Linked DNA regions of Ovis aries. The protein of the gene in region 3 purifies or fractionates together with the protein of the main gene of each other region. This does not show direct contact. Links are inferred from orthologs where the notes say so. Each region holds a gene or a part of one and is shown on either strand. Other genes may lie near its edges. The genes, in order: CTNND1, CTNNA1 and CDH2.

Region 1 (5,074 bases), on a different chromosome or scaffold from region 3:
TAAGAACTTTATGTGTATTTTAATTCTTTTAACAGTCCTATGAGAGAGATATAGTTATTATCTCCACTTATAGTTAAGAGACTGAGTCACAGAGAAATTCTATAACTTTTCCAGGGTTGCAGTGTGTAGCATGTGTGTGCTGCTCGCTCAGTCGTGTCCGATTCTTTGCGATCCCGTGGACTGTAGCCCACCAGGCTCCTCTGTCCATGGGATTCTCCAGGCAAGAATACTGGAGTGGGCTGCCATTTCCTTCTCCAGGGGATTTTCCTCAGCCCAGGGATCGAACCCATTCTCCTGAGTCTCTTGCACTGGCAGGCAGATTCTTCACCACTGCGCCCCCTGGAGGGCCACGCAGTATGCCCATTTACTTGCTTAGGTATACTTAGCAGAAACGGGTGCAGCCAGTCAGCCTTACTGCAGAACCTATGCTCTTAACCACTATTTTAAATTATGAAACCTTTATGAAGATTCATTTGGTAGCAGTCTTCAGATTTTTAGAGTTTTCAGTAAGAAAGAAAGAGGAAATTTTCAGTTTATCATTATCATTTTCATATAGTTAATGAAATAGTCTTTGTAAGCATAAAAAAATTTTCAATCTCTGCCCTTCATGGCCTAATAGTCTAAGAACATATTAAAGATAACTCTTAAGAGAAAAAGAATGCCTGTTATAATCCTTTATTTAGGTCAAGCATAAAGAGAATGCACGAACTAGACCTTCTTAAGCCCGAACTTCACAAATGAATTGAACTTTCTTGATGTGAGAGTTTCTTTTCCTTACATGTGCTGTTGTCTCCAAATATATCACTTGTTTATAGGATATCATTTACGATGCCCCTCAAGCCCACGTTATTTTGATTTGGGGCAAATGAGAAGACTGATTTTCTTCAACAGCCTAGTGGATTCAGCTTCCTTCTAGTTGAAATTATGTATGTGTGTGAAAGTAGCTCAGCTGTGTCCAGCTCTTTGAGACCCCATGGATACAGTCCATGGAATTCTCCAGGCCAGAATACTGGAGTAGGTAGCCGTTCCCTTCTTCAGGGGATCTTCCCAACCCAGGGATCAAACCCAGGTCTCCCGGATTCCTTACCAGCTGAGCCACAGGGGAAGCCCAGTTGAAAGTATAGATGCTAAAAATGTTAAGTCGAAGTATTTGTTTTTCTAATTAACTCAAATGCATTTAAACGAAGATAAAATTGAGGATTTACCTCAGATATCCCCTACCATCCCAGTCAACACACTGTAGCCCTCTTTCTAGTGTTGCTTGCTCCTTCCCTTCTTATCTTCCTGTGGGAAAATGGTTTGGGGTAGAAAGCAACAAACCAAATAACAGCAGGCAAATAAAATCAGCTTTTTTTCTTCCCTACCCAGAGAGGAAGGAGGGAGCAAGAACTCCACCATCAAAGAGAACCGTGGTTCTTAGGCATGCCGTTCTAGAAAGCCCTTGTTCCTTCAGCCCCCTTCCCCGACCCCTCCCAGCTCTGCAGTAATCCCTTAGAGATTATATAGTCTCCACTTTAAATATAAATATATATATAAAACTTCCCCCTGTCTCTTTTTCTCCTCCTCTTGCTTTTTTCCCCTGTTTCCTATAATAAAGTTTCCTATTGGATAAAATCAGCTCCCTGATTTATGCCTAGCTCCTATTGGAAGTTCTCAGGGGCTGACATCACTTAGGAAAGCGAGGGGGTAGGGCTGCCAGATCAGTTTGTCACCACCCAGGCTCCCTAGCCTTTGGCTGGGTGCAACTTCCATTTTAGGTGTTGGATCTGAGAGAAAAAAAAGGGGGAGAGAGAGAAAGAAGAGCCGGAAAGATCCTGAAAGGAGGAAGAGGTGGCGAAAAAGCAACTACCTTGCTGGATTTGTCTTTCTCAGCACGTTGACGGAGCCTTGGTTTTCTCTCTTAAAGAAGTGGTTTTCAGAAGTCCACATTTGAGGTGTGTGCCTTTTTAAAAAATATGTGTATAGACGGGTAAAGCAGGATAAGCCAAGTTGAATTTTTGTCTTATGGTAACCGAGGGAATTTGAAGACGAGAGGGTCTGTTATGCTGACGGGTAACTTTTAAACAATTATTAATTTTTCTTTCTACTTATTTGGGGGAATTTTGGTATTTTATCGTATTTAAAGCAAAGGGAGATATTCAAGACCCAGAAACAAACTTCTAGGTCTAATATAGGCAGATGAATAGATTCAGAGGGGTGAGAGCTGTTGCATAAATTTACATTTTGGTGTGGTCTTTGATTGTATGTGTTTTTTTTCTAGGCTGGGCTAACAAACTTCTGTTTTCAGAGCCCAAACCAAAAGTTGTTTTTTTTTGGCATTTTGTGTGTGGGTTGGGAAAGGAATTTGTCCGGGTCGGAAGCATACAGATGGTTCTTCATATGTTTCAAAACTTTTTTTTTCTGCCTTTTATCATTGAATTTGTGAAAGTGGAAAGTTGCAGGGAGCTTTGCAGCTTAAATAGTGATATTTTTCCCCTGGAGAGTTTGAACGGCTCAGATCGGTTTCAGCCCTGCTGTTCCTGGGTGGATCCCTCTTTTACTTTTTCAGGTGTGGTGGGTGGGAGCCTCTTTCGCCTTCTAGACTTAGCCTCTCTGCTTTGCCTTGTAAAAGAAAACAAATAGACCCTTGGTAACTGGATTGCCACCCCCTTCCTTCTAAAACTACCTTTGATGGCAAAGATTTGTGGAGGTGTTGTATGTTCAGTCTGCATATACAATAATGTCTGGTTTTCGTGCTTAAAGGGATAAGGAACCTCTAGCCATGCGCTTTAGCTCACCTGAGTAAAGTCGCACACAAGAGACATTTCCAGCTTTGTGCTCTCTGAAAGAGGCTGGGATTTAAAAAAGGTCAGGCTAAAACACTTAATACAGACCCTAGTGTTTAGGGTGTGTTTGGGAAAGAACAGGGGGAATTCTTATTTTTAAACCAATCTGAAAGTTGCTTTTTGGAGGTGCATTTTTGATTTGGTTAACTTGCTGTGAAACCAGAAATCTTTTAAGATCTGAAGGCCCATGGCTGTGCTTTCATATCTCATGTTTAATCTTAAGATCTGTTTTTGTTTTGCGCATACATTCCTGCAAAAATACTAGACGAGCATATAGCCGGCTCCTCGGTAGCTGAAAACTGGACGTTCCCTTCCTTCTCCGTTTGAAAATTCGAATCATCTGCAAAATTATAACTGCAATAGACACTGCTCTCATTGTGGCAGGATGGTCCTTAATACGTAAGCTGCTATTAGATTTAAACTGGCATGTATCTATAATAATCCTCTGATTCTGAACCCCCCACCCCACCCCACCCCTTAATTCTTTTCAGACTAGAACACTTCCTTGAATTTCTTTTCCAGGACAAGACTATTTCTTGAAAGATGATTTCATTCTTGTGAGGTTGTAGCTTCAGAGGAAACTGAACTTTGTCCCTTCTTTTAATCTAATTTATGCAAGGGCTACAGTAAGATTTTAATGTCTGGATCATCTAATTATAGCAAGTGCAGTTAAAAAGAAAGAGAAAGGACAATGTGTATATTTTGTGGGCTGTACTTACATCGTTTCCAAATTTTCGAATGCTCCCTTCAGCCTTGACTGCAGCCTAGGGGGGTTTCTTGGTGGATCTTTGGAGGATTGGTCATGTTGCTGCCAGAGTGTCAGTTTCCCACTCAGCCTTTAGGGGGAGGGATGAGGGAGTCTGAGCGAGTACAAAGGCAGTTTGAAAATGGGCTCTGGGTGACTGAGTGGTGGTGGTTTGGGTCCAGCTTTACACACTGGGCTTTGTATGGCTGCAGTGAGCATCCTCGCTGCAAAGCGTCCAGGACTGTCTCCAGGAACTGCGGCATTGTTGTGACTGGTGTGTGCTATTGGCCTTTTGGATGATAAGATGGAAGACCCGTCTTTTACCTCACCTCTGCTGGTTCTTCCAGGACATACAGGAAGAGTGTGAATAAGCAAATCTTTTACTTGTTGTTTTGCTCCTCACTTTGGTTTGGGGGTAGAAAATGACAAGTAAGCATGAGTTCTGCGGATTTTCCTGTCCTTGTTTGACTCCTCTGTGCTGTTGGTTTCTTTGTTATAAGACTAAGGTATGGTCTGTGTTCCAGGTGGGGGCCTCCTTTGGGTTTTTAGAGTCTTAATTCCTTTCTTAGGGTTCACTTTTGGAGAGCCAAAGGTGTTAGAACGCGTTCTTTCAGCTAGGATAAAAATGGGGACTGTTGGAAATCTCAAAAAGAAGCTCTGAGTAATTGCAATTTCAGCCTTGGGTTTATGAGGTAGATGATCTCTAGAGATGAGTGAGAGGATGGATGCAAATAAATTAAGCATAGATCATTCTTCAGTTGGAGTAACAACATGATTGGCTCGGCATAACCCCTCGCCTCCTGGCGCCCCTGCCACTGAGAGCCGGCCCTGCCTCTCCCACCCTCGACCTTGTTTTCTCAGTGAGTGCTAACCATTTTGCATGAACTATTAATTTCCTACAGTAACTTTCTGTCTGTTTTCTGGTTTATGTTTTGTTTTTTAAGGAATTTGAGCCTCAGAGAAGCTGAGGTTTGCTAAAAATTTCAGTGCTTGTAAGTGACCAGGGATTAAACCCTGTTCTGACTATATAAAGTTAGTGGATTTAACCGCTAAAACACTGTTCTCCAGAGAGGACAGAAACAAGAGCCGGAACTAAACTGAGCCCTTGCAAGAGGCAGGAGTGCTTCATCCGAGGAAGGTCAGTGCTTGCTTGGAGTTCCTGCATGCTCCGAGGGAGAGTGGCAGTGCACGTGAAAAATCAATTTTCCAGAAAGCTGCAAGGAGCTAGATACGTTAGAAGGGATATTATCTCAACCTTTATTATAGGGATCTTTCCATGTGCACATCATTACTGCCCTGTAATTCTTAAACCTACTGGAAATGCCTCAAACTTTATTTGATTGTCAGTGAAATTTCTTCCAGAGAATTTTCTGACTCGGGTTTGGAATGAATTGCCAATTTGCAGGGAGAGGTTTGTAGCAGGTAGTTCACACTGTGTTACAATTGTGTGTCTGTTTTTTTGGTCTTTTCCCCTATACTGACCTGCTTGAGTGTAGATGCTGTC
Region 2 (4,378 bases), on a different chromosome or scaffold from region 3:
ACCTGCTTTTCTCTAGTTGCAGAAAGCGGGGGGCTTCTGTTGCAGCGTGTGGGCTCTCAGCCTTCAGTAGCTGAGGCACATGGGCCTAGTTGCTCCGTGGCATGTGGGGTCCTCCAGATCAGGGGCTGATCCTGTGTCTTCTGCATTGGCAGGCAGATTCTTTACCACTGAGCCACCAGGGGAGTCCCCAGATGTGTTTCTTAAACAGATTACATTTGCTCTAATTGTCCTGACTCTTCCAGAAAAACCAGTGCATGAACTGTCTTGGTTTAAGGAAGGGAGCATGTCTTTAACAGACACTGCTTCTCAGATTTCTTGTGTGTCTTAAGGAAAGCTGCTTTCTGAGCAGGAAGAAAATAGCCAGACAATGACCTGGAGACTGTGTTGCTCACCCACCGGCCCCATGCGTTGTGAGCCCTATCATGAGGGCTTTCTGCTGGTGGACTGCACAGTTCCTGGTGGTGAGAACATTCCCTTTCCCATTCTGGGTCAGCCCCTGCAGATCTTCATCCATTTCAGTGGCTGCCCAGTGCCCATAATTTATTACTCTGTTCTGGGACATTTTGGTTGCTCCTACTTTGCTATTATAGATGAGGTTAACGTGAACTCCTCATTCTGGGGTTCCCAATACCCAGGGTCAAGCTTTGTCTTTGAGGAAAAACAGTTCTGGTAGATCTTCCAAATCCAACTCCACGAGGCTTTTGCCTGCCTTCCAGGCTCTTCTCATGTTCCAGAGTTGTCCTGATGTCTTGGTCGTTTGTCTGAATACCACTGGCATCTCCTGGAGCGAGGGGCAAGGGACTGGGAATAGTGAACCTTGTCTTCTAATTTAGACTTTGGGATATAAAATCAATGAAATTGTTTAAGGGAAAGAAATTATCAAGGATTCTGAAAGATGGGCGTCTCTGCCTGTCTCTTCTAAACCTGGAATAAAGATGGTTATTCTTGGGGTGATTGCAGGTCCAGTTTCCAGGCAGTTGATCCCTGGGTAGTCTGGTCTCTTGAGTGAATGATGTGCAAAGCTTTTGGCACTGTAGCTGGCACGCAGTGAGCACTGGATGAGTGACAGATGCCAGCTTAAAATCGTCCACTTCTGGTGGGAGGCCTCCTCCCTCATTCAGCTGTTTTTGTTTGTTCCTCAGAGAATCACATTTTGGAAGACGTGAACAAATGTGTCATTGCTCTCCAAGAGAAAGATGTGGATGGGCTAGACCGCACAGCTGGTGCAATTCGAGGCCGGGCTGCCCGGGTCATTCATGTTGTCACCTCAGAGATGGACAACTATGAACCAGGAGTCTACACAGAGAAGGTGCTGGAAGCAACCAAGCTGCTCTCCAACACAGGTGCGGGACCCCTCCCTCACCTGTGCTCCTCACACACAGATGGCCCTCTGGTTAGGAAGTAGGACACTGGGGCTCAGTTTGGTTTTCGGACAAGAGTTCTGGAAGGTACATCGGATTTATGAGTCATTGGTCAGCCACAGTAAGACCACACAAACACGTTTCCCTTACTTGTGTCCCACAGGTAGTAATGGGAGTCGTTCTGAACTCTGAACTTCTGAGTTATATCTCTAGTTAGTGAACACACTAAATTAAGGAGAGTCCCATTCTAGTAAGGCCTCTAGTTAATCCCAATTCAAATTCTCAGCCATCTAAATCCTGTGTTCCAGAATCTGGCCAGAGACAAAGAAGAGGATTCAAGTCTTTGTAAAATATGGCATTTAATTTATTTGAACTATAAATACCTCTCACATAGGTAGAAGCAGAGGCTCTTCATCATACACTCTGCCTCTCTGCATCTGACTGAGGGATTTAGGAGGGCTGGTGGTGATGTTATCATCTCTCTTCTCCGCAGTCATGCCACGTTTTACTGAGCAAGTGGAAGCGGCTGTGGAAGCCCTCAGCTCAGACCCTGCCCAGCCCATGGATGAAAACGAGTTTATTGATGCCTCCCGCCTGGTGTACGATGGCATCCGGGACATCAGGAAAGCGGTGTTGATGATAAGGGTGAGTAACTGCATTTCAGATGTTTTAACAGCTTCCTTCTTATCATTTGCTAAACTTGAGCAATGCATCATTCTGGAACTCAACAGATGTGTTGGCAATATATTAAAACCATGAATCTAAGGGCTGTTAGGAAGAGATATGTTTAATTACATTGTTTAAAATGACTTTTAGTTGCAAGTTAGAGCCCAAACTTGGGCTGAGAAAAGGGGACCTAGTATGAATTGAGGCTTCCTCTTGAGTTAAAGGGCAGTGATAGAAAATAAAGGCTCCTCAGTGAATTTCAGAGAAGGGAATATTTCCTTTATTCAGGTTGAAACTGTTCTTTACATGGAGCACTCCTCACCTCAGAGGGGTGGCAGGCAGGCAGGGTACTAGAGCCCAAGGGTATTGAGGGGAAGGATGAGGGGCTGTGCAGCCCTTGGTGATGCTCCTGATCTCTAGGGCCAAGTGTCGAGCCCTCTCACCGTGGCTGAAGGGAAGTGCCACCTGCTCTGGGCCCCGTTTGACCCGTCCTCTCTGAGCCAGAGGCAGTTCTCAGCGTCTGAGGCAGTGTCTGGGGTCCCCTGGGCATGAACAGTAGGGTTTTGAGAAACCACCTCCTCCGTGATCATCCCGTGTCTTAGGCTGGGACTCACATAGCAGTTGATGCCTCACACGCTGTTTTGAACATGAATGTGTTGCTCTGGAAGTGGAGAGCAGGACCTGTGCCAAGCTCTCCCGGAGTCACCCCCAGGCTCGGGCCAGCCCTGCCGTAGCCACAGAGCCAGCATTTGGAAGGCAGGCCTGCTGAGTAGACGGCTGCTGGCCTCTGCTGACAGTCTAGTCTTGTCGGGAAGCTTCCGTTACACCTTCATGGTTTGCTAGTCCGACCGCCCAAGGCGGACGGGGTTCTGTCCCCCTTTTTACCCCCTCAGCTGGAAACAGAAGCCATTTCTAAGGTAGTTGCATCAGGCTGGATACATTCTGTATGCAACGTAGCAACATTTGGGCATTACTGCACTTCTCTCAGGGGTAAGGAGCAACAAGAATGGCTCAAGGACTGTATGGCTGGCTGCTGGGTGTTCCTGCAGGCCCGGGTCACCTGCACATACTGGGGGTTGGGAGGGGATCTGGGGGAGCCTGTTGCTTTGTTCACCCCTGCTGCTGTGCTGGAGAGCAGCCCATGCTCAGGGAGGCCTGGCCCCCAGAGGTGCGAAGGGGTCCCTGGGTCAAGCGCACCAGTGATGGCAAAACGCAGCCCTGTTTTTCCAAAGTTCTTTGCATGCGGACAGAGAATAGAAGAAACATTAATAATCATGAGTTGCTGAGTGTCTGAGGTTAATGCCTTTGGGGTTTTAAATGAGCTGGCACTGCACACACCCCAGGATACCTGCACATCCAGGGCCTGTTCTGTGGAAGCAGGGTTCCTCCTCACATCTGAGACTCTCAGCAAGTTCCCGCATCTCTCTAAGATGCAGATGATGGTGTTGGTAGCTTGATGGGATGAACTGGAGGTCAGGTCAGGGCCTGGCATGTAGTAGCTGTTTCTTGTGTGCTTACTGCTGTGTGGGATCGTAAGTACAAGAGGCCCTGGCAGGTGTGGTGAGATGGAACCTGGGTGTGGTCACCTGGGAGGGCTCAGGGAGCAAGGACGGGTAGGTCTGCAGCAGCCTTGGTTTAGTTCCTCCTTTTTGTCTTGATTTAATTCAGGAACCATCCTTCCAACCCAGGGCCTCTTGGTTTCTTGATGCCTTGTAGTTAGCCTCTTTTGCCTGGTCCTTGTCATAACCAGCATCCCCATCATCCCTTCCGTCAGCTGCTCCCTTTGGTTCTGTGACTTCCAACAATGCTTTGAGTCCATCAGGATATTCAGCCGGTTGGTCCTCCCCACTTGCAACCCTCCCTCAGCCTCTTGGGTCCTTGTCTCACTCCTATTCCAGCTTCTGTTTCATCAGTACAATCTATTTTGCACCCTTTTACTCCCCTTATTTGCCTTTCAAAATACAGCCCTAGTGAAATTCTGTCTTCTGCTGAACATGGTGCATAAAAGTACAGTCATCTGACTGGGGTCACTGGACCCAGGATGTCAGGGGACTGCTGGTGCTACACAGTCTGGGAACACTTCCTACCTTCCTGCTTGCCTCCCCTTTCCCCACCTGTGCCCCATCCTACCTGTCTGGCCCTGGTAACCGTTTCACTGAGGATCCTAAAAAAGTGAAAGTGAAGTCACTCAGTCACGTCCGACTCTGCAACCCTATGGGCTGTAGCCCGCCAGGCTCCTTCTCCATCCATGGGATTTTCCAGGCAAGAATACTGGAGTGGGTTGCAATTTTCTTCTCCAGAGGATCTGCCCGACCCAGGGACCAAACCCGGGTCTCCCACATTTCAGGCAG
Region 3 (4,378 bases):
CGTTTTTGTCTGCCTACTGAGAATTAAGATTTCCCTTTTCTGCATAACCCTGCCAATACTTGGTTTCATTAACCTGCCAATCTGAGCAATCATTTCTCAGATATATTATCCAATTATATTTCTTATGCTAATTTTGTTATTTTTCTATTTTATTCATTTCTTGATTGATAACAGCTTTTATATATAGTTGTGCTGTGTGTGCTTAGTTGCTCAGTCATGTCTGACTTTCTGCGGCCCTGTGGACTTTAGCCCAACAGGCTCCTTTGTCCATGGGGATTCTCCAGGCAAGAATACTGGAGTGGGTTGCCATGCTCTCCTCAAGTGGTTCATCCCGACCCAGGGGTCGAATCCAGGTCTCCCACATTGCAGCCTCCTGTAATTCTTTACCATCTGAGCCACCAGGGAAACCCTTATATATAGTTATATGTTCCTATTTTTAAATATATGTATGTGTTTAAAACTGATTTTCCCAATTAAAAATTGTATTGAGTATTTAAAAAGTCAAGAATTAATACTAAAGTATAAATTCCAGAAAGCATTTTTCTTTCCTTTTTTTTCTAACCATGCTTGCCCATTTTTCTGTAATAGGATTTCAACAATTTTTTTTCATGTGTTTAATAGAGAAACCTAAATTGATCTTTATTCCTACTCCAATTTCTAGTAAAACTTTTAATGAAAGTATCATTTTCTCTTAGAAAAGAATATAGGTACAATGTAAAAACTTTTCAAATAATACAGTATTAGTAATAAAATAAGAAGAATTTGCAATCCCAGTACATAAACTAGTCACTTGTCTTTAAGTTTGGTAATATTCTGTAAGATGTTTCTTTGTGCATAGATTCACAAATATATTTTTTTTGAAATTGGGATTATTCTCTGAAACCAACTTTTGTCACTTAGCAATCATAAGATTTAGCATCTTTCCACATCTGGAATCATTATTTGTTTCTATTACTATTTTTGATTGCTTGCTCTAATATAATTGTAACTATTACCTACTGGCAGATACTTGGATGATTTAGTTCTTTCTACTTTATTTTACAACTATAAATCATGCAGCAATGAATAGCTTTCTGTACATTTTCCCATTATGTCCTCAGAAAAAATTCCTAAAATTGGAATTATTTGATAAATATAGTGAAATTGTTCTCTTGAAGAGTTGTATTGTGTTCCAGTTCCTCCCCACTATAAAACAGATACTTTCCATTCCATTATCAATTCCGGGCATTATTTATTTATTGCCAGTGCTATTTCTAAAAAATTTATCTTGATGCTTGAAGTTGCATACGTTGAATATCCAATTAAAGTAAATTCCCTATTCCTGTCTTATGCTGAATTTGGGGTGGGAAAGTTGTTACCCCTTCCTCCACCCACTTATAATAACCTTTTATCTACTAGAGATGTTGATGCATGATTTTCATATATTTCCTTTGTTGTTATTTGTTTTCAAACTTTGTGTATAATTTTTCCCTCACTGTAACTTACAGGTTTAACGTTATGACATTTGTCCTTCTTTTGAGTTGATCGTGCATTCTGGCTTTCTTTCTTATGTATGAACTGTTGGCTGTGCTGGGCCTTTGTTGCTGCGCGGGCTTTTCTCTGGTTGTGGCGAGCCTACTCTCTAGCTGTGGCACTCAGCCTTCTCATTGCAGTGGCTTCCTTTCTTGCAGAGCACGGTCTCTAGGGTGCAAGAGCTTCAGTAGTTGTGGCTCCCAGGCTCTAGAGCACAAGCTAAATAGTTGTGGCACGTGTGCTTTAGCTGCTCTGCAGCATGTGGGATCTTAGTTTACAGACCAGAGATCAAACCAGTATCTCTTGAATTGGCAGGTGAATTCTTTACCATTGAGCCACCAGGGAAGGCCCCCATTCTGGCTTTCTGGGATTGTTTAAAAAGATCTTTCCTACTCCAAGATGCTAATCTCCTGCATTTTATCTGTTTTATTTATTTATTTATTTATATTTGCATCTAAATGTTTAACCTCTGTGGAGTTTATTTTAGTAAAAAAAGAAAGGTACATAGATCGACTTTGCTTTTCCTTTATGGCCAGCCCAGTTGTCTCAACACTATACATTGATTTAGGATTCCGATTGATTTAGCATCAATGTCATGATCGTACTTAGTTGTCCCATACTTTTTATGCCACTTATGCTAATGTGTTTTTTAGACTATTTTTCTCATTAATATATTTTTTGAATTTTTGCACTTGTACAAATTTTTAAATTATTTAACTTTTGAAATTTGCTATGTAAATACATGTAGATATATGGTAGAATAAGACATCCTAGACATAAACTGGCAAATAAGCATATGAAAAACTAAAAATGCATTTTAAATCCTAAGTATCATTCAATTCTCTCCTCCCAAGGGCCTTGATTGTTTTACCAACCAATGCTCTTAAAAGCCTTATGAGCACGTAATTCTAATGCTTTTTATTAATACATTGTTCTAAAATATAAAGAAGTTTTCAAGCCTTTTACAAAACAGCATCGTAATAGGGAAACCAGAAAAGGCAGCAGGGCTTCCCAGGTGACGCAGTGGTGAAGAATCCACCTGCCAATGCAGGAGATTCAAAAGGCGCGAATTTGATCCCTGGGTTGGGACGATCCCCTGGCATAGGAAATAGCTACCCACTCCAGTATTTTTGGCTGGCAAATTCCATGGACAGAGGAGCCTGGAGGGCTACACTCCATGGGGTTGCACAGAGTAGGACATGACTGAGCACACACACGGATGGAGTAAAGTAGCATCCAGTAGACCAGTCTCTAATTAGGCTGTCCTGTAATTTATGAGTACAAAAAATACCAATCCAAAAATTCAAATATTTCTTCTGTATCAATTCTTACTGGCTGAAATCATGTGGTTAAATCTCAAAAAATATTTTCAGGCCAGTGTTGGGGTAAATTCTTGCTCTCCAGATTCTCACTACTTGCACATAAATGAGCAATATTGATAACAAAATAGAATTAATTATAGAATGGCAGGGACAGTTCAGTATTAAAATCTCTTAATGTAATATATTAAATAAGTCAAGGGAAAAAGAGACTCTATATGTGTTGAAAAGGCTTGTCTAATAAAACTTACAGTTTCATGTGCTAAATAACCTCAAAATTGAAAAAAAACGATATGTTAATTCTTCTTTAAGTTGATAAAGTATATCCAGCAGAAACCAGTAGCCAGCATCATCCTTAACAGGAAAATCATAGAAGCATCGCCTTTAAAAAGAAACAATTCAGTGGAACACTACACAGCCTTTGAAAAGGTTGAAATGGTTTTCTATGTGCTGGATGAAAAGATTTTGAAGATATTTTGCCAAGAGTAACTGACTGATTACATTTGTTTAAAAAGGAAGAGAAAAGATAAAATTTCTAGAAGACCTGTAATACTGAGAACTCAACCTTGGGAGAGGAACAAACTGTCTTATGTACTTTTACTGTTTATGAGTGAATGACTTTTACAATAAAAAGAGTCAAAATTCCATGTGCACACTTCATTCTTTCCGAATTTTCATCTTTTCTCTTGTTCTCTATGACTCCTTTAGGCCAGTTCCACATTTTTAATTACCCTGACTCTTTTGTATGGATTTAGCGAAAGGATTTGGAAGCTGGACAGAACTGGCTTAGGACAGGGGCTCTGTCAATGAACTGAGTAAAGTTACTTAGCTTTTCTGAAGCTTGATTTCTTTGCCGTCAAAGGTGGATCGTTTCTGCTTCACTCTTTTGTATACAGATTAGAGTCATAGAGCTCTGAGCCAGATGCCTATCAGCTGTATCTCCCTTAATAATATAGTTTGGCTAACTTGAATTTTGATGGGAAGAATAGCTTTTGGTTTTCATCCATCTGTGCTGTTTATGGCTATGGTTATGGTATCTTTTATCTTCTCACAGGAGACCTAAATCCATTAAATCATTTCATTTTCTAATCACTCTTGCAGTTGAGGGCACATGCAGTGGATATTAATGGAAACCAAGTGGAGAACCCCATCGACATTGTCATTAACGTTATTGACATGAATGATAACAGACCTGAGTTCTTACACCAGGTTTGGAATGGGACAGTTCCTGAGGGATCAAAGCCGGGTAAGTTGGAAGATCATAATTTGGAGGTTCCTTGAGGAAATACAGTGTTATCCAGCACTCGTATATAAGCTAAATGAGAAATCATGTGAGCCTTTAGTGTCATTTTCTTTCATTCATGCTGCTTTTAGGCAAGACTTAATTCATTATATTTAATTTTTTAAATTTAATTTTGAATTTAAGAAAGCCTCGACATTTAAACTTAATGCTCTATATTTCCTTCACCGTCTATACTGGTTTGTACTTAAGCCAATTTATAGATATAACTGTGTCTTAAACTGGCACTTTTCCTGGTTCAGATACG

The links.
Region 1: the proteins of CDH2 (region 3) and CTNND1 purify together in Homo sapiens (affinity purification with western blotting; 6 studies listed by BioGRID and IntAct, with this or other methods). This does not show direct contact. The link is inferred for Ovis aries from reciprocal best matches to the Homo sapiens genes CDH2 and CTNND1.
Region 2: the proteins of CDH2 (region 3) and CTNNA1 purify together in Homo sapiens (affinity purification with mass spectrometry; 4 studies listed by BioGRID and IntAct, with this or other methods). This does not show direct contact. The link is inferred for Ovis aries from reciprocal best matches to the Homo sapiens genes CDH2 and CTNNA1.

What each region holds. Positions count from the first base shown.
Region 1 is NC_056068.1:79,778,078-79,783,151, forward strand, and holds the start of CTNND1 (catenin delta-1), read left to right. Parts: upstream 1-1,710; 5' UTR 1,711-1,934; intron 1,935-5,074. UniProt on the Homo sapiens protein: Key regulator of cell-cell adhesion that associates with and regulates the cell adhesion properties of both C-, E- and N-cadherins, being critical for their surface stability.
Region 2 is NC_056058.1:47,904,344-47,908,721, forward strand, and holds part of CTNNA1 (catenin alpha-1), read left to right. Parts: intron 1-1,142; coding exon 1,143-1,343; intron 1,344-1,854; coding exon 1,855-2,006; intron 2,007-4,378. UniProt on the Homo sapiens protein: Associates with the cytoplasmic domain of a variety of cadherins. The association of catenins to cadherins produces a complex which is linked to the actin filament network, and which seems to be of primary importance for cadherins cell-adhesion properties.
Region 3 is NC_056076.1:29,193,291-29,197,668, forward strand, and holds part of CDH2 (cadherin-2), read left to right. Parts: intron 1-3,932; coding exon 3,933-4,077; intron 4,078-4,378. UniProt on the Homo sapiens protein: Calcium-dependent cell adhesion protein; preferentially mediates homotypic cell-cell adhesion by dimerization with a CDH2 chain from another cell. Cadherins may thus contribute to the sorting of heterogeneous cell types.